7 linked regions of the Coturnix japonica genome follow. The protein of the gene in region 1 interacts with the protein of each later gene in a pairwise test. Links are inferred from orthologs where the notes say so. Each region holds a gene or a part of one and is shown in the gene's direction. Other genes may lie near its edges. The genes, in order: ZGPAT, BEN domain-containing protein 5-like, zinc finger and BTB domain-containing protein 8A, CDR2, MIPOL1, SSX2IP and DHX15.

Evidence for each region.
Region 2: the proteins of ZGPAT (region 1) and BEN domain-containing protein 5-like interact in binary tests that used the Homo sapiens proteins (3 or more experiments, as listed by UniProt). The two-hybrid records come from large-scale screens. The link is inferred for Coturnix japonica from reciprocal best matches to the Homo sapiens genes ZGPAT and BEND5.
Region 3: the proteins of ZGPAT (region 1) and zinc finger and BTB domain-containing protein 8A interact in binary tests that used the Homo sapiens proteins (3 or more experiments, as listed by UniProt). The two-hybrid records come from large-scale screens. The link is inferred for Coturnix japonica from reciprocal best matches to the Homo sapiens genes ZGPAT and ZBTB8A.
Region 4: the proteins of ZGPAT (region 1) and CDR2 interact in binary tests that used the Homo sapiens proteins (3 or more experiments, as listed by UniProt). The two-hybrid records come from large-scale screens. The link is inferred for Coturnix japonica from reciprocal best matches to the Homo sapiens genes ZGPAT and CDR2.
Region 5: the proteins of ZGPAT (region 1) and MIPOL1 interact in binary tests that used the Homo sapiens proteins (3 or more experiments, as listed by UniProt). The two-hybrid records come from large-scale screens. The link is inferred for Coturnix japonica from reciprocal best matches to the Homo sapiens genes ZGPAT and MIPOL1.
Region 6: the proteins of ZGPAT (region 1) and SSX2IP interact in binary tests that used the Homo sapiens proteins (3 or more experiments, as listed by UniProt). The two-hybrid records come from large-scale screens. The link is inferred for Coturnix japonica from reciprocal best matches to the Homo sapiens genes ZGPAT and SSX2IP.
Region 7: the proteins of ZGPAT (region 1) and DHX15 interact in binary tests that used the Homo sapiens proteins (3 or more experiments, as listed by UniProt). The two-hybrid records come from large-scale screens. The link is inferred for Coturnix japonica from reciprocal best matches to the Homo sapiens genes ZGPAT and DHX15.

The regions. Positions count from the first base shown.
Region 1 is NC_029535.1:9,383,898-9,388,021, forward strand, and holds the start of ZGPAT (zinc finger CCCH-type with G patch domain-containing protein), read left to right. Parts: upstream 1-1,324; 5' UTR 1,325-1,419; coding exon 1,420-2,036; intron 2,037-2,763; coding exon 2,764-2,897; intron 2,898-3,428; coding exon 3,429-3,587; intron 3,588-4,124. UniProt on the Homo sapiens protein: Transcription repressor that specifically binds the 5'-GGAG[GA]A[GA]A-3' consensus sequence. Represses transcription by recruiting the chromatin multiprotein complex NuRD to target promoters.
Region 2 is NC_029523.1:20,985,405-20,989,535, reverse strand, and holds the start of BEN domain-containing protein 5-like, read left to right. Parts: upstream 1-1,331; 5' UTR 1,332-1,377; coding exon 1,378-1,420; intron 1,421-4,131. UniProt on the Homo sapiens protein: Acts as a transcriptional repressor.
Region 3 is NC_029538.1:4,576,839-4,579,037, forward strand, and holds the end of zinc finger and BTB domain-containing protein 8A, read left to right. Parts: coding exon 1-14; intron 15-416; coding exon 417-589; intron 590-979; coding exon 980-1,312; 3' UTR 1,313-1,699; downstream 1,700-2,199. UniProt on the Homo sapiens protein: May be involved in transcriptional regulation.
Region 4 is NC_029529.1:8,363,024-8,367,147, reverse strand, and holds the start of CDR2 (cerebellar degeneration-related protein 2), read left to right. Parts: upstream 1-1,324; 5' UTR 1,325-1,535; coding exon 1,536-1,614; intron 1,615-4,124.
Region 5 is NC_029520.1:33,564,278-33,567,777, forward strand, and holds part of MIPOL1 (mirror-image polydactyly gene 1 protein), read left to right. Parts: intron 1-772; coding exon 773-878; intron 879-3,500.
Region 6 is NC_029523.1:14,404,853-14,409,094, forward strand, and holds the start of SSX2IP (afadin- and alpha-actinin-binding protein), read left to right. Parts: upstream 1-1,442; 5' UTR 1,443-2,265; intron 2,266-2,282; exon of another isoform or gene 2,283-2,452; intron 2,453-4,123; 5' UTR 4,124-4,219; intron 4,220-4,242. UniProt on the Homo sapiens protein: Belongs to an adhesion system, which plays a role in the organization of homotypic, interneuronal and heterotypic cell-cell adherens junctions (AJs).
Region 7 is NC_029519.1:66,716,344-66,719,843, forward strand, and holds part of DHX15 (pre-mRNA-splicing factor ATP-dependent RNA helicase DHX15), read left to right. Parts: intron 1-1,942; coding exon 1,943-2,136; intron 2,137-2,930; coding exon 2,931-3,090; intron 3,091-3,497; coding exon 3,498-3,500.

The DNA.
Region 1 (4,124 bases):
TGATCTAAACTTCTCCCAACATCAGATTAATAAGTGACATTACTCGTTTATCAGTAACTCTTAAGCCAACCCTAGGACAAATCACAGACACAAAAGGAAGAGTGCAAACAGCTCAAGATCCAATGTTCAAAACATGATCTTCCAAGTAGCTTAACCTGTGTTTCAGCACACAATGCACAGCATCCATTATGAACTCACTTCTCAACTCAAAGTTTGTTCTCTCTTGGACTTAAGAGCAAGCTAAAGTCTGCTTGAAAGTAACTTAGAGAACATATAAGACTCGTAGAAAAGAAGCCAGTGGTGTGCAGATATAGAGGAGTGTTCTGAGCAGGAATGTGCAGGTTGGTGCCCCCTCACTTTGTTTATGACAGTATTATGGGATCTTCAACAGCTGAACCGAGCTCACAGCCAGATCACAGGATCACAGAATGAGCCGGGTTGGAAGGGACCTCAAGGATCATGTAGTTCCAACCCCCCTGCCTGGCAGGGCCACCAAACATACACCTTTACTAGATCAGGTTGCCCAGGAGACCCCATAGATCCCCATAGAGACCAGAGAGACCCCATAGATCCCCATAGAGACCCCATAGATCCCCATAGAGACCCCATAGAGACCCCATAGATCAGGTTGCCCATGGCCCCGTCCAACCTGGCCTTGAACACCTCCAAGGACGGGGCATCCACAACCTCCCTGGGCGGCCTGTTCCAGGGCCTGACCACTCTCCTAGTGAAGAACTTCCCCCTAACATCCAACCTAAATCTTCCCTCTTTTAACTTCAAACCACGTACCCAGGCGGTGTGTGTAGGAACCCTCACCTATCCCAAACCCTCCTCTCTCCAACAGCAGTGCTGCTGCAGCACCCGCTATACAAGCAGTTGGTCACAACACAACGCCCCTTAGACCCCCCCTGCCCCACAGCCCGCAGCCCTCCCCGCCGTCCCCACCCCTCAGAGCCCGGCTGAGCTCTCAGATCCCTCCACAGTCCCTCCGTACCCCGCAGGCCCCGGCCCGGCCGCACAGCGCACACCGCAGCCCCTCACCCGGTACCGGGAGCTCCTCCCGTCACCCAGCGCCGCCTCGCTCCCCCACCACACCAGCCGCCGGCGCCGTCCCTCGCGAGGCACTCTGGGAAGTGTAGTTCTCACACCGCCTCTATGGCGGGGAGGTGGGGTTATTTTAAACTACAACTCCCAGAATGCTCAGCGGCGCCGGATGCGTGGGGCGGGCCCGACTGCGCAAGCGCACTACGGAGAGATTGGTCGCTGAAGTGGCGTTGCGCGACAGCTGGAAAAGCCGGAAGTGGCTGCTCAGAAGGGCGGAAGTGGGGGGGGCGTAATGGCGGCCGTGCTGTGGGGGTGCGGGAGCTGAGCGGGGAGGTTCGGATTGAGGCCTAAACCGGGGCCTGGCTTCTATTCGCAATGGATGAGGAGAGCCTGGAAGCCGCCATCCAGGCCTACAACGCCCAGCTGCAGCAGGTTGAGCTGGCTCTGGGGGCGGGCCAGGACCCCTCGCAGCGATCGGATCTGATTCAGTTACAAGAAGATTTAAAGCAGCTGATAGAACTGACCGAGTCCAGCCTGGTGGCTGTGAAGAAGAGCAAGTTGTTGGCTGCGTTGGATACAAGCGCCTCCTGTGTAAATCAGCGTGAAAATCCCGATAGCTGTGCCCAGGATGAGGAATATGCTGCCTTCAAGGAAGCCATTGCTGAGCTGGGGACTGATGGTGAGCCCTCAGCTGATAACAGCGAGAGATCTGCGACGGGAGACGAAGAAAGCAAGGAGAGTGAATTGAAATGCAGCGAGGAAGAGTCTGATAGAGAGGAGGAGGAGGAGGAATTGAGTGGGATGAAGGTTAAAGCGCCGTATTACAGCTCGTGGGGGACGCTGGAGTATCATAATGCCATGATTGTGGGGACGGAGTACTTGGAAGATGGCAGTGCAGGTGTCAGAGTGCTGTATCTCTACCCCACTCACAAGTCCTTGAAGCCGTGCCCGTTCTTCTTGGATGACAAATGCAGATTTAAAGAGAACTGTCGGTAAAGAAAAATATGGAGGGGGAGGGGGCTCGTATCCTCGCTGCTGATAAAGGCCGTGTGATTCAAAGGCTGGAACATCTGAGTGTTCCACGCTGGCTGTTGTAACCAATGGGATTTTGCAGTGTTATTAAAATCCATTATGTATGGTAACAGGTGGTATCAAAGAGCTGGACAGTTCAGGTAATGCAGATATGAAGTGGAAATCCCTGTGGGCAAGTTGCAGAGATTTTACCTGATCATTCCAATAGCTACTTTAGTCACAGGCTTATGAGTTAAAACAAAAACACCCAGGGCTGTCTGTTGATGGTACCTTTGTTCCAGCTGCGGGGTCTCCATCTTTGGAGAGCTTCAAATCTAACCCAGATGAGGCCTTAAGCAGCCTGATCAGGCTTTGAAGTTGGCTTTGCTTTGAGCAGGAGGCTGAGATCTCTGTGTCTGTGTGCAGTCCTCATTATCTCAAAAGATCTGTGATTTTTCAGAGATCTCCCTATCAGGGAAAGCTTCATTCTTGGGAGTGGGATTATTTCTTCTATTACACAGCATAAATTATATGAATATGGTGAAAAACGAATGACTTCTTTAATTGAAATGATGCATGATAAACCTTCTGATGCAGATTCATCACTGCTGACAATTTGTTTGAGTTTCCTGTCAGGAAGGAAGGGGTTTATATTTCAAGCCCTTTCTAGTGAGGTAGATCTGACTCCTTTTCTGTCTTCCCTGGCAGGTTTTCACATGGCCAGGTGGTCTCTGTGGAGGAGCTTCAGCCTTTTCAGGAGCCCAATCTGAGTACCCTGGAGGTGGGCTCAGCCTGCCTGGCCAAACACAGTGATGGGATATGGTATGCTGCCAAAATAACTGGTGAGTGGTGTTTGTGGGTGTTGTGCCAGAGCTGTGTAGAGATTGAGCACCCATGCTGAAGGAATTACAAAGTATGACCGTTTTGGTTAATGATAGCAAACACTTGAGGATGTAGCTGTGGCCTTGAACTAAAAATCTGGAGGTAGTTGAGAACGTGTTCTGAGTTGTGTCAGGCTTGGGAAGGGAATAGGATAGGAAATATACATGCATATACAATTGCATATTAGAGTAGAACTGCAGTAATCTGGGAGCTGTTGATAGAGGCTCCCCTCTGTTCTGAGAAGTTTTTTTCTTTGGCACTTGTTGGGTCAGAGGGAGTAAGTCAAACTTCTTTTTAGTTCCATTTGTTGACAGCCCATATTCCTCTATTTTTATAAGTAAATCTCTTAAGCCTTCAGCTGTTTTAACACGTGTTCTTCAGGCCTTCCTCCTCTCCCGCATCATTCCCTGAAGCCAACTTTGAGGAAGCTCTCTGCAGTGTTTGTATTGAGAGTTTACTTGAACTCTTGTTTCTTGCTTTTCCTTCTGTAGATATTGACAGTGGTTACTACACGGTGAAGTTTGATTCCCTGCTGCTAAAGGAAGCTGTTGTAGAAGGAGATAGTATAATTCCCCCACTACGAAGCGAAGATGGTGCCTCATCTGCTGAATCTGATGAAGACAGTGTTGATGATTCTGGTTATGCTAAAGGTGAGAGGGTGGTGGGGGTGTGAGAGAAGTGCCTTGTGATCTGTGTCTGCCTTCTGTCACCAGTATGAGTCTGGTGAAGCTCAAATGTTTCTGTAGCAGCAGGTAGAGGGCGCAATGTTTTATAATGGAGTTCCAGTTCTTAGTCTGTTTTTCAAGTGGGTGTGTGAGCTGAGCAAGTAAAACAGGAGACTTCTAATCTCTCCGGAGCCTACACAGAGCTGTATAACACAACAGGAGTAAGAGATCCCAGGCACAGGTATTCAAACCTCCCAGTGTCTTGATGAGTAACAGCTGTGCCTGGCTTTTTACTATGAAGAGGTGACACCAACAGAACCAGGTTCTCTGAGCATACACAGATAGCACTCTGTCTGTGCCCCTGTTTTGTCACAGGGACAAAGCTGTGTCCTATTGCTCAGTAAATTCAGCCTAATGGAGATTATTGAGTGCTAATAACACATCATTAGCATAGTAGCCTAGAGAATCCTCATGCTACTGACATGCACTGGAGGCACTAATTAAGCACATTATGTGCCACAG
Region 2 (4,131 bases), on another chromosome or scaffold:
TTCCAGAGCTTGAATCTAGATGTCCCTCGATGGCTTTTGACTGCTGGCACAAAGCAAGGAACAATATCCATGTTCCAACAGGACTTCTAACCCCATCACAAAGCCCCCTTGGTGCACTATTTTAGACAGATATTTCAGTCACTGGCACAGGAATGTGGCCGAGTTTGAAAACTTGTGACCGTGGATGTGGTATAGAAATATGTCGAGAATGAAGAGAAAAATAACCAGAGCAGTATGAACTGAAGAAAGAATCAACAAGGCTGCAGAAGCCAGGGAAAAACACAATGAAGAGGAGGTAACAGACCCTACAGAAAAATCCAGCTGTGTAGAACCATGTGAGTCTTGTTATGAGGTGTTGCACTGGAGGAGAAAATGCACATAGCAGATAGGAAGACAGAGAGTAAAGTAATATTGAAATAACACCACTTTAGGTGGAGAAAGATGCAGTTTCACTTGCCTTGATTTTCAGGCTTGGAGCATTTCACTAACAGGTCACTGGTCTCTGTGGCAACATTAATTTATTAGCTGTAAGCAAGCAAACACATAAATGTTTATGTAGTCATAAACAGTCTTGCCCATTTCCACTGCTCAGCATTGCACACACACTTCCCATTTCAGTTGGCCGCTCAGTTTGGTGTGTGCTCACCCCTCGTGTCTGTCTGTGTATGTAAATACAAGTGACTCAAGGATCTGTGCTTGCACTTGTGACACCGCCTGTCCCGTGCTTAACCTCGCAGAGGACATCACACAGAATCACAGAATTGTAGGACATGTGATGAAGGTTTTGTCTCAAGCTCGTGTTAGTGAGACACAGTCAGACCCAGCACCCCGTGTCTTGGGGGAAACACACACATAATTAACTTCTCTGCACCGCAGAACTCACTGCTGTATTTGCCACATGGTGGGTGTCACCCAGCGGGCCTGCAGCGCACGTAGGAGCCCTCCCGTCCCCAAGAAGCCTGAGTGTATTTGCCATATGGTCGCACTCACCTGCTAGGGCGAGAGACAGACGGGCAACACACACACTCATAATGAAGCCCCCCACTGGGCTGCCCTAAAAAATGAGGGGGAAAAAGCGGCTCCCTAATAACAGCTCCGTAATGTGTGGGCTTTGCGGTAGGGCGGGACGGTAGCGCACCTGCAACCCAGCGATGGCAGCTCAGCCATTGCCGCTCCAGGGCTGGCTTTTCGAGTGCGGGGGGCAGTGACAGCGCAGCATCCCTCCACCTCTTCTCCCCTCCCTTCCGTTCCCGTCTCTCCACGGCGGCTGCGCTCGGGCTGAGGGGGAGCGCGGGGCTCCCCCGGCGGTGACGTGCGTTGCCATGGCGAAGCTCAGGCAGCGTCTCGCTCCGTGGTGGGGGGGGGGGGGCTGAGGGGATGACAACAAATATGGCGGAGAGGAGCAGGACGGCAGAGACGGGTCAGTGCAGCCGCAGGCGCCTGGGCGGGGGGAGGGGGGAAGAGATCCCCGTCTCCAGGGGATGAAGGAGAGGGGCTTCAAGCAGGGAGGAAGCCTTACTTCCAGCAGCCTTAAAGCTGGAGTGCGGGTAACGCAGCTCATCTCGCCGGGGAAAGGGAGGGAAGCTCTGAGGTGCAGAGGGGGCCCGGAGCAGGGAGAGAGCCCACAGCACGGGGAGCTGAGAGGAGGGGAGAATCCCATTCCAGGGGCGACGTGGCCGTGGGGCAGGGAAAAAGGGCCGCGGGTTGGCTCAGGACCCGGCGGGAACAGCTCTGGCTGCGGGGCTTTGAGGGGCAGCCAGCGCCGCGAGAGGGGACGGAGCGGTGTGGTGAGGAGCAGAGCAAAGACTGTGCCCTCACACGAGAAACCTTCCCCTGCCTTACCTAGAGTGTAAAATAAATAATACGCGAAGGCTGAATGTTGGAACTGAAGCCGCTCCGCCGTGCTGCTGGCTCCGGGCTGACCTGCAGGTGCTGCCTGCCCTGTCTTTGGGTCTGTAAGGAGCGCTGCACTTATGGCATGTGAGCCGAGGGGTGAAGTGGGATTGTCTCATTATGCCCCTGCTGGCAATAGCTCTGGCTGTGTGTGTGAAGATAAGTTTGTGGATGGAACTCAAGTTCTGGGCTTCTTCAGGTGCGGTATGGATTGTCTAGGTAGAGGGGTCTCTCCTATTGTAACAGAACACAATGAAGGCCTTTACCACCTCACAAAAGCTCCCAAACTAACTTAGGAAAATCTATCAACATTGTGAGGATGAAACAAAGGTGATGACGGCTTTTCTGAGTGTTTAATACCCCCACAGCATCATACACGTGAATTTCCTAGATTCCTGGACCAAAAGCTCATTTTCATTGCCTGCTGTGCTGCTGTGCATGTGCTTTTATCCCCCAGAAGTGGCTCCATGTGTATGGAAGATGCACTATCCATAGAACTGACATTGGATTTTTGGACCACTCGAGGTGAAATAAAGTGAAAAATATGTGAAATACTCTTGTCCTCTGAAAAACAATACTACAAAGGCTGTGTCTGAATAGGTTGGCCTAAGGTTCTTGAACTCCCAGTCTGTTTCAAGCCTACTCTTTACGAAGCCCTGAAACAGCATTGAGAAGTTTCTTATACATTAAGCTTTCCATGGAGCAGGTGATTTGTTTCATCTGCTGTACAACACTGTACTAAACACAGCTGATCTGCTTTGACTGCGCCGTGTAATGGAACACATCTCCAGTGGCCGTTTGACTTTGTCAGCTCTTCAGCAAACTTCATCCACCTATGCCTATGTGCTTGCCAGGAATGTTCTATATAACATGGTAGAACTTGCTCACTATTTCTGGATTATTGCATAAAGTTACTTTTACATTGAGTTTCCTGCTATATTCTTTAAATCTGTATCTTTACAATATTTGGTTTCTGTTTTTAACTCTGTCATGCCCATTCCAACTGGGTAATCCATCATTTTCTTGTACATGCACCCGTTCCATGAGCTTGTGGTGAAATCAAGTTTTGTTGCATGTTCTTGATACATGTTCATCTCAGTTTTTCAGTGCCTCTCTGACTGTTTTGAAGCTCTAATTTGCAGCCCCCTCCCTGTCTGGATTACTGGCTGAGTAACTTCAATGCAAAAAGCTACAAAAATAGGAAAAAAGTCCTGACAATTTAATGGGACTTGAGGAAACTGAATGAAAGAAAGTAGTGGTCTTGGCCCATTTATTTAGAGAGGGCATAGAAAGTAGGCTCTGGAAGAAGCGTCTGTCTCCCACTGCACTTAGTTTAGGTTTTCAACACTGATGTCATATATTGTAGGTAGGGAATATTCTTGTTCATGTCACATCCTACTTCCTATGTCATCACGCTCTGTCAGATTTGGGCCATTCTTGAGGAGATGTGAGTCCAGCTCTGAGTCCTGCATTTCACACACGTTTAATTTTTTTCTGTGTGGTTGGACTGGATGATCTTTGAAGTCTTTTCCAACCTTGGTGATTCTATGATTCTATGATTCTATGATTCTTTGATTCTATTGTTTGCAGGGAGAACAAAGCTATGAAAGAACAACCTTGTTCAAACTACTTGAGTTGATTTAGCCACTGTGGCTCTGTTGCACTTGCTGTTACATTTTATTTTTTTTTTGGCAAATGTTTCTGTTCCTGAGTCAGAAGACACAAATAATAGCTCTCCTATCTTTTCTTCTTGAAGTATTGTTATTTCTTATTTTCAAACGAGAAAACAGCACTACAGGAACTCTGAAGGTAACTTACCTATGCTTTACGGCAACACAGATCACTCTGTGTTATGGAGTTCATTATATTCTTGTTTGCTTACATGCACCTGAGGTGTTTTCAACCTAAGTTTAGTTTTGAAAGTACGCTGTGTCAAGAGGTTCTGTATATCAATTATACTTTACGGAAAACATACCTTTTGGTCATGTAAGAGTTTGTATTTCAGTTTTATTAGTATTTCCTTATTTGTTTCTCACAGGAAATTAAAAGTTAATTGTTCATACACTGCTCATTGTAGTTATTGTTTCTTTATAAAATCTTTCAATATTTTAATTCCTTCCTTCCTTCCTTCCTTCCTTCCTTCCTTCCTTCCTTCCTTCCTTCCTTCCTTCCTTCCTTCCTTCCTTCCTTCCTTCCTTCCTTCATTCCTTGCCTTCCTTTCCTTCCTTCCTTCCTTCC
Region 3 (2,199 bases), on another chromosome or scaffold:
AGGCTGGGCTGAAGGTAGGAGGGGGTCTCCGTGCTGTGTCAGTGAGAAACACACAGTGCTGAAGGAGCATTTACCAGAAAGGCTTTGTGTTTTCAGGGATGTAGGCTTGGAAAGCTGAGATCAACACTTGGAGAGTGATGAATGAGTGAAGTTGAGCTTTGCAAAGTACATATTCTTCATGTCTTAGAGCTACACAGTCACGATCGTTTTGGTTTGTTATTCTCACTGTAATGTTGCTGATAGCCCCGCTCCTTTTCCCTCGATGTTGTAATTTACACAAGAGCTGTATCTGAAAAGACCTACAATGTCTTTAAAATAGAAGCCATTTTCTGTTCTGTTTCTGTTGCTTTCAGTAACTGGAGTAACTAAACGACGGGTATGTTACGACTTCTTTTAAAACTCCAACTGTTTCCCAGCAGACGATCTGCCCAGGATGAGGTTCAAGTGCCCGTTCTGCACTCACATGGTGAAAAGGAAAGCAGACCTGAAGCGTCACCTGCGGTGCCATACAGGAGAGCGGCCGTACCCGTGTGAGGCGTGTGGGAAGCGGTTCAGCAGGCTGGATCACCTCAGCAGCCACTTCCGCACTGTACGTATTGTTGGTAACCGTGAGTTTCACTTGATGTGTGAGTCCATCTCAGTGTGATTAAACACAGTGCCAGCCTGTCTGGTTGATACATTGACTCCCGTAAAGAATAGGGAGTAGATAATTAACTTGGTTTTGCTTAAGTCCATTTGAAGCATAATTCCAATGAAAGAGGATGAGTTCCTTTGTTGGCTCACAAAGGCACTGCACTGCGTGAGGTCTGTAATGGGATGAAGTGCACAACTGGAGCTCCTGTGGATGTCTCGTGATTGATGTCTGACCGCTGCTCACAATGAGTTAATGCTGACATTTGATGGCACTCTAGCTTTACTTTTTGTCATTAAACGCTTCCTCTCTGATGCTGTATAAATGGATTCCTCTCAATTTTCCCAGATTCATCAGGCCTGTAAGCTGATCTGCAGGAAGTGTAAACGCCACGTGACGGAGCTGACGGGACAGGTGGTGCAGGAGGGGACCAGGCGCTACAGGCTCTGCAACGAGTGCCTGGCTGAAGCCGGCATCGACAGCATCCGCATTGACTTGGAGGCTGAAGCGCCCCTTGAATTTCCAGCAGACGGGGATAAGGATTCCAGGTGGCACTACGGGGAAGACAACAAATCCGATGTGGAGATCGTGGAGGACGGGTCGTCTGACTTGGTCATCCAGCAGGTTGATGACAGTGAGGATGAAGCAGAGGAGAAGGAAGTAAAACCAAATATCAGGTAGTTGTGAGACAAACACGAGTGCATGGAATTCCTTTTACGTGGAAATCCTGTCTGCCCGTGAGCCCTCCACCAGCCTGACATCTACAGAGACCTGCTGGCTTCTCTTGGACAGGGCCAGACTTGCATGTGTTCATGGACATATCATTGAGTCCATCCTGAGTTTTGCTATCGAAATCCCCATACTTTGCTTCATTAGAAATAATGTGCCCTCAATGGAGTAACGGCTGATCCCGGAGGCTGAAGTACAAGGACGAGGTTTTACGGTACAGTGAGTCTCTTCTCAAAACCTCTTTCAAAGAGGTGAGGTCTAAATGCTTACAAAAGTTGCACATCGGTGTAAATTACTCTTCAGCATTCAGAAATAAAGATAATTTTCCATGAAATTTCATTAAGTCTTCATATTATGTCATGATTAGAAAAGCTAGGCAAAGAATTAAGAAAAAGCATATAAAAATGTTTAGCATGTAACTGGAAAAGCATTTTCTTGTCAAACTTATTCCCTCTGAAAATGGGGAACTCAGTCTGAGATGTGTTGTGTTTGGGCTGGAAGGGGAAAACTGTGTCAATGCAGGCCTGAAACCTTAACTGCAAACAGCAAAGATGACACTATTAATTCCTGTGTACTCCAGGGAGTTTCTAGAAGCAAAGGGATTTCTGGATCAATACCCAATTTAATTAGATATTGTACATCTAAGAATAGTGGGACTGGATTCTTTAGGGAAAAAAAAAGATGTGAAGTGGCTACAAGGGGCAAATGGAACAATCTGCCCATAGGAAGACATTAAGTACAGGCAAAAGAATTACTGATTTGCCCTGGTGGAGCAGGGTTTTATTGCTTTTATACACCTTTATTATTCTCAGCGCCATCCCTAAATGCTTGTAGTCATT
Region 4 (4,124 bases), on another chromosome or scaffold:
ACATTTAATTCTCTAACAACATCCAAAGGTCATTTATCGGTAAGAACATGACTCAATTTGCAGATAATTGAGCGGGGCCGTCATGCATGTCATCAAATTCATCTGTTACGGAATTTCCCATTTCCAGGTGATTACACTTTGCACCTCCCCAACGAGTTCGGCTTCATAAACTGAACCGAGAAACCTACAAAGAACAACAGCATTGAAACGATGGCCGCGTGAAACGTTCATGCTTCAAAAGAGGGATATAAAGAAAACGTGAAGGGTGATTCGCTACTGAAAACATCGTGTTCTTGTTAGAAGGTGTATCCACATCTTCACAAATACACCGAACGTATGTGAGACCTCGGGGCTGCGACCCTGGGCAGGTTCCAGTGCAGAACCGCGGGCATCTCCCTCGGATACACGCTGGGCATTAACATTCTCGAGCCGTATTGACTCAGTTCCTTCCTACGCACGAATAAGAGACAAATCGCTCCCGTCGCTCCAGAAAACTCCCAAGTATCGTTTGTTTCACAAAAGGCTCCGAACAATGCGCCTCCAGCGCCATGACTCACAGCTGCGCGCAGGGTCTGACTCGGCTCCCTGCGTTATTGGCACGGCTCGTTTATGAACCGGCTCCTGGAGGAGCTGAGGTCCCACACACCTCCCTGCCCCACAGACGTGCTCTTTAATTGTACAGCAATTAACACGCGTGAGCCGCCCCGCACAGCACAAAGCGCTGCGGGCTGAGGCACAGCGCAACGGCTGCTCCTGCTGCAGCGCCGGGCACAGCAAAGAACCGGCACCGCTCAGGGAGAGCCGGGAGGAGAAGGTTGGGCTGCCCGGCACTGCGGGGCGCACAGAGCGGCACAGGGAGCCAAGGGACGGAGCCGTCCTGTCAGAGCCCTCACAGGGAGCGGCAGCAGCTGAGGGGCTGAGGGGCCTCACGAGGCGATGAGGGGCTCCGCGTGAGGAGACGCCCCGCGGGGACACGCAGCAGCACGGCCGGGCAGCTGCCACGCCCTGCCCCGCTCCCAGCGCCCCGTGCCGCCTCAGCCGCACCGAGACAACCCGCGGCACCGACACCACCGCCAGCCCCGGCCCCGTCACCGGCCCCGCTCCCGCCGCCCCTCCCGCGGGCACCACCGACCTCCTCCGCCCGGAGGCCGCGCAGCGGGACGCTGGGGCGGGGCCGGCCAGGCGGGACCGACCCCTCCTCCTCTCTCATTGGCCGCCCGCCACGGACTCGCCTCCTGGTTGGCCGGCGCTCCTTTCGATCTGCCCTGCGGGCGGCTCCCCATTGGCTGTCGGCAGAGGAGGCGGGGCGTAGTGTTTGAATCGCGGCCCGGCGGTGGGCGGGCGGTCGCTCCGTGCCACGTTGTCGCCGGCGGCTCCGCGCGGCCCGACCAGAAGGGGGAGAGGTTCGGCAAAGTCCGGAACCGCTCGGCAATGCCCGGAGCCGGCTGGTAAGGCGACGAGCTGCCGGCTCGCCCGGCCCCGCCGCCGCCCGGCGCGAGGTGAGCGCGGCCACCGGACCGAGAGGGGAGAGCGCGATGCTGGCCGACAGCCTGGTGGAGGAGTTCGAGATCCGCGAGGATGAGCCGTGGTACGACCAGCAGGACCTGCAGCAAGGTGGGCGGCACGGCACGGCACGGCACGGCGGGGCGGGGGGTCGGGCGGAGGGGACGGGGCGGATGGAGGAGCGCGGGGCGGCGGCGGGGAGAGCACGGGGCGGGAGCTGGGACCGCCGGTACCGGCACGGTGCGGCTTTGTCTGACGGAACGGGCGGCTGCTGCCGTGCCCGGCCCTGCCGGCAGCGGGGCGGCTCCGGGGGCTGCGCCCGATGGAGCACGGCCGGGATGGGGCGGCGGGACCACGCGGGAGGGAGAAACGGTACCGGCTGAGCCGCGGGCACACGGCGATGGATCTGCGGTACAGACATCGGCGGACGCGGCGATGGAAAGAACGAGCCGGGAGCTCCGGAGCTCGGACCGGGCGGGACGGGCGGCTGCTCCGTGCGGGAGCTGAGTCGGAACCCGCCGTACGAGGCACAGGGCAGCGCTGGGAACCGTCCCGAGGCGGCAGCGCTGCTCCGCGTGCTGTGTGTGTGTGTGCGGGATGCTGCCGCGGCCACAGGTTATAAAGAGATCCATTGAAATGAGGTGCTGAAGCCATTGTTTGCTGTCAAAGGGATGAGCTGAAAATCTGAAGTCAGGGTTTGGTATTTTTCCGCGTCGTTATTTGTGGGGTAGAAGATGTGCATGGTGGAGCCGTGCTGCTCTCCTGCCGTGCTGCTTCAACTTCGCTCTTTGCCACCGTGAGCGAATACTCGCCCTTGGTTCCCGGCCGGGGCTGGGCACTGCTCCGCTCCAGGGGTCGCTGACTGCTCTCCCTGCACCTGGAACGTCTCTTCCGAAGGATCAGCTTCTCACGAGCCCAAGTGGAAGGCACTGACAGCCTGCCAGAGGGAAAGGAGAAAGTGAACCGATGGGCAGGCTGAAATGCAGATAGGTTCCTTAAGGGAACATCTGTGAAACGTCCTGCTATAGTGGACTTGTACAGTCTGGAAAATAGTCATCATTCTAAAACCAAGCAACACAAGTGCACATAAATGGAGCAGCAAGGCTGGGCACTAGTGAAACTTATCACAACCCACCAACCAGAGCACGTGTAGAAATCAAGGAGTGCGTTTGTGAGGACACATCACTGAACACAAACCTGCAGCCCTTCACAGCCTGCCCAGGAGCTCAGGGAGGGCAGCAGCTGGACAAACTTCCACTTAGTTTAATTTTACAGTTAGACTTCAACTTAGACATCCTGTACTACAAAGGCATTCTACTACTGAATAGACTTACTTTTAGAACAAAAATCATCTGAATTGCTTTGTTAGATGGGCTATGAAAGCATAAAATAAGAGTTTAGTACCACGTTCTGTCTTTTGCTCAGCTACAGAAACGCTGCCAACAGGTAACAGGAAAAAAGCAGAATTGTTGTAGGATGTTCACATAAAAGTGCTGCGTGCTTCTAGTATCACAGAGTGACTCTCAGACAAACGTGTTCTCCTGTATCAGGAGAATGCACTCTACATTTGACTGTAGGTATCTGCAATGTAGAGACACGGGTGCACAATAAATTGTTAACTTCAGAACAGGTCAGATTGGTTCAATTCTTTCCTTTTCTAGGGGTAGCAGTTTGAGAAAAAGCCCTGAAATAGGCTGTGTTTCTTAACAAGGGGTGTTACAACAAAAAAGCTATGTGAGGATAAACTGCGAAGTGTAAAGCAGCGAGCCACGCGGCTCCCAGCTCTAACAAGAACTTGTATGCAGGGTGATTTGTTGTAAATAAATTCCAGAAACATTATTCAAAGCATCTGACAGCTACAGCCCGTTGTTTCCTACCTTAAAGTACATGTAATGGATACCACAGCTGTTGTTTGTCCTGAGCAGGACATCTACAGCTTACACAGACAAGTGAATGGGAACATTTTTCTGTTTGGTCTGAATTCAGTCTTTGGTTTATGTATCTGGACCAAGTGCTCACTTCAGACATGCTGCCAAAGTGAAGGTTAGCACAAAGCAGTCTGGGAACAGCCCTCTGTCTGCTACAGCAACCAGCTGATAAGGGAACTGGGGAAGGGCAGGAAGGAGATGAGAAACACCTTAAAACAAGGGCATCTTAATCACATGAAAACTGAGAATGTTTTCTTGTCTAACTAGAACAGCGGGTGATGCAGTATGTCTCATGTATTCATTTCAGGCATCTTAAAGAGAATCTGGGTTTTTCTTGAACCTCCTTCTGCTTCTTTCCCATTAGTGATGCTATCCCTACCCATATGAGAACTAACAAGGCTGCCTGCATGCAGGAGAAACCTGGTCAGACCCAGGTAATGGGAAGGAGGTGAAAAGTAACGTTAGAAATCTGTTGAATTTGGAACATGTAATACCTGCACAGTGTAGTTACTATTTTAGCAATAACACAGGATTGATTTCATCACGTTATGTTAGTTTTTAAATTGCATGCATCTTTAAACATAATAATATGAAACATCTAGCAATACTCATGCTGCTTCCCTTCAGAAAGGAGCTGGGTGTTCAGATGACTTATTTCTTAATATGAAACAACTACAGTCACTGTACCCTGGA
Region 5 (3,500 bases), on another chromosome or scaffold:
GCACAGTCCTATCTGCATAAACAACAGAAACATGTATAACCTTTTCACTAAATGCTCCCCAGTGCTGAGACAAGAGGCAGTGAGAACAAACTGGAACACAGGAGGTTCTGTCTATCAGGAAGCACTTCTTTACTGTGTGGATGGCTGAGTGCTGGCACTGGCTGCCTAGAGGCTGTGAAATGTCTTTCTTGTAGATCTCCAAATGCTACCTGAATGTGGTGTTGGGCGACTTGCTCAGGGTTTCCCTGCTTGAGCAGGGGATGGAGCAGTTGAACCCAGAGGGCCAGCCAGCCTCAACCGTCCTGTAATTACATGAAATGTTCTTGACCATTCAATGGTAAGCTCAGACATTTCTCCATAAACAGAGCCAGTGAATTCCTAATTAAAAGATTAAAATATCGTTTTTCTATCAGGTGATGCACATTGAAAATTATGCATTTACAGCCCTTCAGACATAAATTATGTCAGTGCTCTTGATGGGAAATAGTCTACTCATACAGACACCACCTACATCATATTCCATGTAACTGAACTTTGTTAGCTAGAAGGACCACAGACAGAGTTATCGGAAGAGGGGATTCCCAAAAAAAACAATGGCATGCACGTTGCTGCTTTTCTCAAAGAGCAAGATAAGATAATTGATCTTAAATAAATAAAATTGTCCTTTAAATTAATAAATATAATAAATTGAATTTCTGTGGTATTACCAATATTTGTATTTTGGGGATAAGAAAACTGTAATTTAATATTTTGTTACACTTGTTCATTTCAGCTTCAAGATGAGGTGTTGGAAAAGGACAAAGAGCTGAAGACAATAAAACTGGACTTAGAACTGCAAGAGAGAGCTACAGAAGCTAAGATTGCAGAAAAGATTGCAGGTATAGTAGGCAAGCGTTTAACAGATGGCTATATGGCTCATACAGTACCAGCGGTTGCTATATGACGTGGCCTAGTGAGTGTTAGCTTTATTTGCTAAAGGAGGGAAGATTTGACTTTTTTTTTTTTTTTTTGTGTGCGTGTGGCTGTTTAGAGTTGCTTAGAAAATAGGTGGCTTTAACATCCTGGTACTGGTATTAGCAGGAGCTTTACCTGTATTCATACTGATTTGGGCATTAAATGCATTGTTAACACCATGTCAATCCAATCACAAAAAGGTTGTTTGTTTTGTTCGAAGGTCCTGAACAAACAAGGGGAAATAATGATTACCAGTGCCTCTACCTTTCAACCAGCAGTTCAAATACCACTTATTGTTTTAGCACATTCAGAGCAATACTACCCCTCTCTCAGTGTTTGAAGGTAGTCGCACATTCACCTCAGCTAGAGACCTGCACTTTTCCTGAAAATATGTGTTCTTCTGGCAGTTAATTAATTTTAGTCTGATTATGTTATGTCTTCAGTGAAAGAGACTTACACAAATAGCCAAAAGGAAAGGTTTTGAAGTTTATAGTTAAGAGTGGATGCATGCTGATATTTGTTATTCATCCTTTCGTATACACACAAGCCTGGAAACAGTTTGCATTCTGTGGTTTCAGAAATTTCTAAAGTAATGAAGGTGAGCATTTTTATTATTATTTAAAAGTGCCAATGTGTATCTTGTACTCAGTGGATGAAATATTCTCCATGTGTTTCAAATGAATAAATAAGAGTACTTTTCTGAATTAATCATGCTATTTGTTTACAAATACAGTGTAGGCTAGGTAAAGTTGTGTCCTTGTGGAGGACAAATATTCAAATAATATTGATAGTAATAATACCTGTCCCCAAAATATCAGTACTGGAATAAGGAGTAACTAGGAAAACAGCAATGAAAATAAACTGAAAAAACAGATGGCTGTCTTAACATGAGACTCCTGAGAGTAAGTTTGGCTGTGCATATTACAAGTAGAAGAAAATTGCTAAATTTTCTGTGGTAGAGAATGAGAAAGGAGAAAGTAGATATTAGAAGTCAAGTTTAAGTGAAATACAGGCAGAATTTTGCTCTTCTAACACCCTAAATAATCTTGTTTTCTGTATTTTTAGAAGACAAAAGAAGGCTGCACTGCATACCATAGTTGCATCCATCAGCCAAATGCTAATGCAAATTGTTTGGGTTGAATTCCAAGTTTTGTGTTTGTTCTTGGATGTTTGCACAGTGTTTTACCTCTGTGCACCTGTAACACATAAATACTCTATTTGATATAGGTGTTAAAGCCTCGTTAAAACCTGGAAATGAATATATGACTGTCAAAATGCTATTTAGTCTCCCTGTTATGGAAACAATTGAAATATTTGTTAGTAAATTGTCTTCTCTTGCATTACTGTTTAAACTTTCTAATTATGTCCTAAGCATGATGTTCGCCCTAAAACAGCATGGCAGGTTTATTGATAGAATGATTATCATAGTTATTACAATTAAAAAAAGAAGACATGCCAAATTTTAGCGAGAGCTGCATTGAGTAATAAAGATCGTCTTTTAAAAAGATAACCTTTTTGCTCCTTATAGTGGTTCAGGAAGTATAAAATTATTTAAATGCTGTGAGAGAGGATAAGAGCCTTAGTACTTAAGCTGTTTGGAAAAAGAAAAAAAAAAAAAAGCCTTGTTAAAGTCTACCATTTTTGCTTCTAATTTTACTGTTCTAAGACTCTTCCTAAGTTTGAATAAACATTTTGAGATCTGGAATGATGTGAACTAAGATGAATTTATGGAGGTCTGTATGTGTCGTTGTGGAGGTCTATACGTGACTGTCGTAAAAACCTTGGGGAGAATTCTAATGGACAAGTAGAATCTAATAAAGACTCAGTGTGTTTCAGGAAAAAGTTTTTTTCCCTTGCTTTAAGTCTCCTTTGTGGAAAGGAGAACACGTGCTGCTGAGATTTCATGTTACTAGTTAATGTTTAATTACCACAGCATATAACACATGGTAGAGCGACGCTTGTAAATATGGGTGTTTGCATTTTTATTATTGCTTTGTACTGACTTTATGATAAGAAAATGACTCCACAAATTATACTGTAAAAAACATCAGAAAGGTTCACCATAAAATGTTATCTACTTTGAGGAATATTACAATTCTATTTTTAAATGGAACTCTCTCTTTGATAGATTTTACCTAAATGAGCCCTTTGGCAAGAACAGAAAAGCTGAAGACAAGGGCCATCTTAAAATTTTACTATAGTGGTCTTCAGAAGGAAGTAACCTAAAGCTTTTCATTTTGTGATTTTTACTTTGTTCAGAGAAAAACATAAAGAGGAGAAGTGCAAATTTGTGAGATGGTTTGTGTGAGAATAAAAAAGTGAATAATAAATGCAGAATAGGGACATGGTGGAAAAAAATGTTTACCACATGCAATAAATGGCTTATTTTCAGAAGATTTTTATTTTAAGATTTTTCTAGACTGGAGTTTATAGTTCAGGAGGGGATTCACAGTTCTGATTGCAGATGCTTGACCATTAGAGGCTGTTATTTCTGGTGGTCATATTTGCCACAGATTACTACCGTTTCTTCCCTAGCCTGTTAGATT
Region 6 (4,242 bases), on another chromosome or scaffold:
CAGACACAATGTGGATCAGTCCATCTCTTTCTGAATTGTAGCTGCCTCTTTACTTTCTCGTACAAGTTACAGTTTAATCCTGCTTAAATTTATTTTTATAGAGGTGCATTTTGTATTCAATTTCACAAAGCGTCCCTTTAATCCCCAACCTTCCCAGTACTTCAGTGTCTTTCTTAATCCCATTTTTTTTAATCATTATTATTCTTTAGCAAAGAATAACAAAGAATAAAGGATAAATAAATTTTCTAAATTTCTCTATTCATTTATGCTATAAATTATGTTTATAAAAGAAATATGACAAATGAATTTTAAGAATAATAATCTATATCAGAGAGAGGAACAGCTATGAAGTACCAAAATTGGTTTGTTTGTTTGTTTGTTTTTTAAGCTGCAAAATTGCAAGGCAAAGTGATCATTCATCCAGATCATTCCACTAATTCAACCTAGGCAAGGAAGCTATCAGCATGAAAAATAAACAGAAAACTGTTCAAGGAATTTCAGTCTTAAAATTTTGGTTACTGTGAAAGACCAAACATCAACTACAGGATATTTATGGTAAGTTTGCTCAAGAGAGCACAAGCAATAGTTGATGTCCCTACTGCGTCTCTTAAGAACCAAAATCTCCAATGGGTCCACTCTTTTTTCCTCACTAAATCCTACCTACCTACGCCTTGGTGTAAACCACTTGAAAGTGTTTGTCACTGTGGTTTAGGTAGTCTTATATTACACTGAATTAGTGCATTATGAATAAAGAGCAGTGTTAGGCTATTTTTTATAAGGTAAAGTTTGCTCTGATTCTGTTGCCTGAAAGCATCCCATAAAGACTTCTCTGTTTCTGGCCAGCCCTTTAAAACATAAACAAAACCCAACCCACGACACACAGGAAAGCACTTGGGGATTTCTCATGTGAATAGCACCAACTTCAGAAACAGCTGCTAAGATCAAATAGACGCAGGGAATTCAGGAGCACACATCCCATCCATTATCTTCTAAAGCTGCAGGAACTTAATCCTTCCCATGAACAATGTCTGTTGTCTCACTTGCTATTACGATTAACATATTACATTCTGTGTAAGACTGCTTTCTTCTAAGAGTGCACCTGCAGCAGTGCTGCAGTGTAGAAGTCCAAAGTTCCTACAATTAACCCGAGTCATAAAACAAAACAAATATACATATATTGCATTGCAAGGATTGATTTCCTAACTCTAAAAAGAACAAATTATTAAAACATTTATTACTGTTACTGCCAAACCAACAACTGGTATTTCTGCAGACACTGGCAGTGTGCTGCCTACACAGCAAGAACTGATCAGTGTAATAGTTATTAATAGTGTAATAGTTATTAATAGTGTAATAGTTATTAATAGTGTAGTAGTTAGTCACCTTGTAATAGTTATTTCTATCTGCAGGGTGAGCTAATCATGGTCTGCCAACACAAAAGAGAAATGGCCTCAATTCCAGTCCCAGTAATAAGAGTAAATTCCATTCATGGGAGTTAAGTTTTGATGAGAACTTTGAAAGTCTGGTTTAGACCTTATTTTTCATTCTCGAGCTGGTCAAATAAAAACACATGGAGGTAAAGACCTGTAGGATTTCTTTGTTAATCTTATAAATTTATCATGCTTACAAGATAGTGATGGTAATACAGCGGGTTGGAATACACGACTGGGTTTGTGGTTAACCAACATTTTTCTTTTGCAGTAGCACAGTGAATATGCAAACTCTGATGTTACCCAGTACGGGATGGAGTCGCACCAAGGGAGGTTTGGACTTCGAGGGTGCCCATCCCTGCAGGTGTTTAAGTGGCACCGAGGGATACGTTTTAGGGACGGGACTCGGTAAGCCAGGTTTGAAACGCGTTTTTCAGACGAGCGGGTCCCAGCGGGGCACAACTAAATGCTGAATACACTGTTGTATGGAAGCAGACGCCGTTCCGTGCCCGGCCCCGCCCCGGGGCGCTCTGTCACCCCGCAGCCCCGCTCCGCCAACAGGTGTCCTGCCCCAGCAGGTGCGGCGCGGCCCGCAGGGGCGGTGCGGGCCCGTGGGGGAGGTTTCCTAGCAACCTTCCGGCCAATGGCAGCGGCGCTGGGGCCCGGCGCGGGGTCGAGGCGGCGGCGGCAGCTGCGGGACACGGGGCCGCGCGGAGCTGGGCCGGGGCCGGTCCTTCCTCCCTTCTTCCGTGTGTGCTCGCCGCAGCAGGTGGTGCTACACGGGGCTCCTCCTCCTTCTCCTTACCGGCGGTGTGGGAGGCGGGTGTAACAGCGGGTAACGGACGCTGCGTGGCCGTTGGTGGTGGGAGGGCGGTCACAGCTCGACCTGGCTGCGGGCTGCCTGCGGGGGAAGCCGCGGTGTGGTTGGTGCTGCTGGGCAGGCCCGGGCTGAGCCGTAGGGCTGAGGAAAGCTCGTCCCTGGACGCAGGCCCAGCGCCTGGCGGTGTCCGCGGGGCGGCGAGGTGGGAGCCCAGGAGCTGTCGGGCGGCGTTGGTCCTGCCAACACCCGGGAACAGCCCTGTACAACCCTGCCCGCGGCTGGTCGCGTTCCGAGCGGGGTGGGAGTGGGGGATGTGCGGCTTTGGCATGATTGAGTGCTGCTTAAATCAGAACCCCAAATCCTGTTTGTGTGGATTGAATTGTAACGCAGGATGTGCTCGTGGTGTTGCTGCAGCCCCTGTTTGCGCAGAGCGCCGTGCTGCCCGTGAGGTGGTTACACAGGGCTCCGTGTGCTGCGATGTATGACAGGAATTCGGGTATTTCAGGGGAATGGCTCCGATCGGGAGGTGTGCGGAATGAAACGCGAATGTGCGGGGTAAATGTCGGTGCTAAAACTGAAACGGGATTTGATGCCATTGATGAAGGTTTCGGAAAGGAGCGGGGGAGAAAAACGTTCTTTCTGGTCTGGGAGAGAGAAAGCGCAGTATCAGTCATTGGCTGGGCTGGAGAGGGCACAGGAGGCAATCCCAGGTTCCTTGGGTTCGGTTTGTCTCTGAAAGCGGCTGGCAGCAGATGCTAAGGGAAAAACGCTGCTGAGCAGCGATCCCTCTGTCAGAGTGTCCTCCCAGCGCCCTGCACCGCGGAGCTGAAGGGCTTCTGAGCTGAGCTTGCTTCTTGCATTCGGTGGCTTTTGATGTGTGTCATATGATTACAGCCAGCTCATATAGTTTGTATTCCCTGCACATGGTGATGCGAGTCTATTATTTAACAGTGCTTTTTTTCCCCAGCCTTCATGCTAAATGTCTCATTTCATTTTGCACAACTGTGTTAAAAGAAGGGGTGATATTTTTCTATACGTGTTTCTGTACATGTTTTGTCCTATTTCTCTAGCTGCTCTAGCGGAAAACTTGCAGCTTGTTAATTTCTTGTATGGAAGCATGGGCTGACCTTCCACCGTTCTCAGATGTTTTCTGCATTTTGTATAGGGAAGGTCATAATGATGTGTGCTCTTTCAACTGAGGAATCTCAGTGTTTGTATGGAGCCATTATGATGTTCATTTTTTTTTGTGTCCAGGGCTCCAATGTTTTGTTAACTGCCCAGAGGAGTAATCACAGTGACTCTGTGATCTCTTTTTGCATGATTGTGCTTAACATAGAGCCTGTTGGATTAAGTACACAGCTGAGTTGTTGTTGTGCTTTTTTGCTTCCTAATAATAACAGTTCACAAACCTGGATTTTTGTTACCATTTGTGAACTATGAATACAACCTTTTGGGGTTCTTATCATTCAATCTTAGTGTTTATTTTTCTAAATAACTCTGTACCATGAGTGAATTTTCTCACTGACCTACCCAGCACCTTTGAAAGTTCTCCCAACAACAGAAATGCCACAAACAGATCCCATTTGTGATTAATTTTTATCTCTTTGGGGCATTTATGGGGCATGCAACACTTATACGATACTTAAAGAAGGAGAAAGGGGAAAATACTTAACTTTTCCTACTATTTCTCCTTCTCCACCAATAATCACTCATTAGTAAATCCTTTGGCATGGTAGATTAAGAGCTTTTGTTAGGAAACATCGAGGAAAGTTTTTTGGAAATCCAGTTCTTCAATCTCCTGGCATTCATTAGAGAAAGTAGTTACATTGATGACCTTCCACTCGTTTTACCTGGTGCCTTTTTTATCTTACAGGTTACCTGCTACTGAACCTTGTGAATTGCATTGTTTCTGAGAGCTGGAATGCTAAATCTGGCTCTGCCCTGTAAGTGTTATCAGCTTTAGGAACAGGTGAGACTTGCGTTCCCTTCCTT
Region 7 (3,500 bases), on another chromosome or scaffold:
TACAATTCTGTGATTATACTGAGCATGGCTTTATCTCCTGCTGTCCTTGTAGCCTACAAGAGAGATGACATGAGTAAAAGTTGGACTCAACTATTAACCAATGACAGTTGTGAATTCTACCCTAACTTTACACAGAAAGTTCATTGGATTGAAGTATCTCAGAACAGGCAGAACAGTGCTCCTTCCTCTCCTGTCTTACATTCCTTTAAAAAATGTGCCTTTCTTTTGGCTTGAAAATGGACTTCAACAATCCTCACTGCTTTCATCTTTGATCTCACAGGTCTCTGTGTTTCTCTGCCCCCTTTTTTTTTGGTTGGTAGTTATCTTTGAAAATCTCTCTATTGAAGTCATTGAGGTTGAGATTTAATTGAGGTTCCTTTTTATTAAGGAAATTTAGGATTTTTATATTTGCATCAGTGGAGTTAACTTTGGTCTGTAAGATCTAGATGATGGAAGTTGTTTCACGTTCCTGAAAGTGATCATCACTCAAGTAACAAACATACATCATGGTCCTTTGTCTCTTTTAAAGTGAGACATGAAAACTGTTCTGATGGTCTTCTAAATCAGATTCATGTGTTGAAGTCTACATAGGCTTTGTCTTTCATTTGGTGACAGCATTGTAGGTTTTGTTGTTTCTTTGAAAATGGCCTCTAAATTATTTTTATTTCCCTTTACTGTGTCCTGAGAAACCTGCTTTAAAGCTGATGTCAGGATTGGCTTTGTTTAAAGTTAAGAAGCTTCTCCTCATTCAGAGTTGAGTTTTTATTAGTCACTTGAGAAGCAGCTTCATTTTTCTACACTCCACTCCTGGAAAGTGTGTATGTGCTACTGGGTAGGATTCCAGACTCATGTCTTCAGTATTTATGAGCTGTTGGTATTTTTAGTTTTGAATAGGATTTTCTGAGTTCTTTTGTTCAGTTGTTAATCTTTGCTTTTTTTAAATTTTATTTCTGTACTTACAGTGGGGGGTATGTTCTCCTTTTTAAGAAAAAAATAAAACAGCTTTTCATTAGTCTACAATTGTCTGTTGTGCATATGTTCAGTTGTTTCCATTTTGCTGTAGAGATACAGCATTTGAGAAGGAAAATCTGCCTAGGTTACTTAAAACTACACAGTTCTTCCTGCTATTCTGTATTGGTTCATGAATGGTAACACTTTCTTTTTCTGTAATTGTGAGCCTTTTATAATAGTTAAAACCAATTAGTAAGGAGGAATAGATTTTATATCATCTGTAAACTTAGGACTGGCTCTGCCTGGAAGTTGTCTCCTCATGAAACATCACATGGAACATGTTAATAATATTACATTTTCTTCAGGCTGTTACTGACCTTGCAAAGTCTTCAAAGTAAAGCTGTTTATTATTCTGACTTTCTTGGAAAACCAGTGCCTGACAAATAAGCAAAAAAGCGTGTTGTTACAGAAACTGAAACACTAGGATTTCATATCTAGTTTATAACAATTCCAAAGAACAGAAGTTAACCAAATTAGCATATCTTGTTTATTTGTCATGATTCCTGGGTAGGCAAGTTGTATATAATTAAAATATCTTTTTTTTTTTCATTAATCTACATTAATGAACAATATATATATATATATATATATATATATATATTATATATTATATAGATATATATTTTTTTTTTAAATGCAAAGTATAATTTTAAGCTACTGAACTAACAGTGCTCAGAGGTTCTGTGAGCCTCTTATTTCCTTGATAACTTCAGAGATAGTTACATACTTGCTTAAGGTGAGCATGGTTTACTTAATTGTGTTGAGTCTAAATACTCTGCTTTTCTACTCTGGATATTTCTGTACATACAGTTGTCACCTCAGTGAAATTATGAATATATTTATTTGATATAACCACTGTGTTATATTTATTGCATCTGGATATTGAAGCTGTGGTTGAAACTAATTTTGTTTTATTTCTATTTCTTGGCAGATCCCTCAATGGTGTGTTGACTACATGCGCTCATTACCTGGACCAAAGAGGGGAGTAGCATGTACCCAGCCGAGGAGAGTGGCTGCAATGAGTGTGGCACAGAGGGTTGCTGATGAGATGGATGTAATGCTGGGCCAGGAGGTTGGTTACTCAATTCGATTTGAAGACTGCAGTAGTGCAAAAACCATTCTCAAGTAAGTACGGTGACTGTCCAATAAAGATCCCTGTGGAGGATGTTAGCAAGGTTTTGGAAAGAGTAATGAGGAAGTAAGAGTGAGTGGAAAAGAGATGGAAGCTGTAGTGTCAGGTGAAAGAAATATAGAACGTGGGTGTGGCGTAGACTTGAAAATGAGTTGTTCTTAAAGAAAAATGATGTGTTGAGTTGACTTCTATCAGTGGTAACTTAGTACCCAAGATAATTCTGGTGAAGTTTAGGAGTTTACTTCACTAGTAAGCAGAGGTACTAGTAAGCTTCAGAACTGATCTGTGCCTAAATCTATGGCACATAACTGAAGTTTATGTATGCTAGTGTTTCATTTATTAGCTATTCCAGATTCCACTGCTTTGTAGGTGAAACCAAGCTCACTTAGTATGTGGTTTGCAGATCACATTCACAGTGCTCAGTTAAAAACGAAACTATTGCAGGAGTAGTGTTTCTAGGATTTGAGTTGTATCTTTTTTCCTTTTTTTTCCCTGTCTTTAAATGTAGATCTGGAAGTTTGCCAGTAATAGTCTTAAAACTACTCATTAATGTTGCCAAAACTTGTTGACCCTCTCACTTTTTAAGCTTAATCTCTACTGCCGGATTTCATTTATATACCCTATGGTAACTTCTGTGTGAAAATGAAAACGGATTTGTTGCTTTGCTGGAAATAGTTCTTCTATTCTAAAAACAAGGTTTATAAAGGCTTTCTTCAAGCAACCTCATAAATAATAAGAAAGGGGATTCTTTATCAGATATAATAAATAGAATTGTCTTTGTATTCAGGTATATGACTGATGGTATGTTACTTCGTGAAGCAATGAATGATCCTTTGCTGGAGCGCTATGGTGTTATAATTCTTGACGAGGCCCATGAGAGAACACTGGCTACGGATATTTTGATGGGAGTTTTGAAAGAAGTTGTAAGACAGAGAGCTGATTTGAAGGTCAGTAATGATGAAGCCTAGCAACATCTTTGTGTTCAGCCATGCTGAAGAAGAGTGTGTATGCGTTTACCACTAGGTAATTATAAAGAAAAATAATCAACTGACAAAGATCGAGAGGCTTTTTGATCTGTTAATGGTGAACTGTATTAGAAAGGTAATGCTAGGGAAGGCCTAAGTGCAGTTTGTATTAAAGAAAATACTAGAAAGTCAGTTATCTGTACCTTTCCATATTTAATTAGGATGGTTTTTTGGACATGGAAATGAAGGTGCTGTACTATAGTGATAGAAACATGCTTAAATCATGGCTAACATTGAGTTTAGTTTCCTGCTGCTGTATTTTGTTTGTGTAACATTTCTCAGGTCATTGTCAGCCTTTGGGGTAACTTTTTTATTGTCTATACCTACAGGTT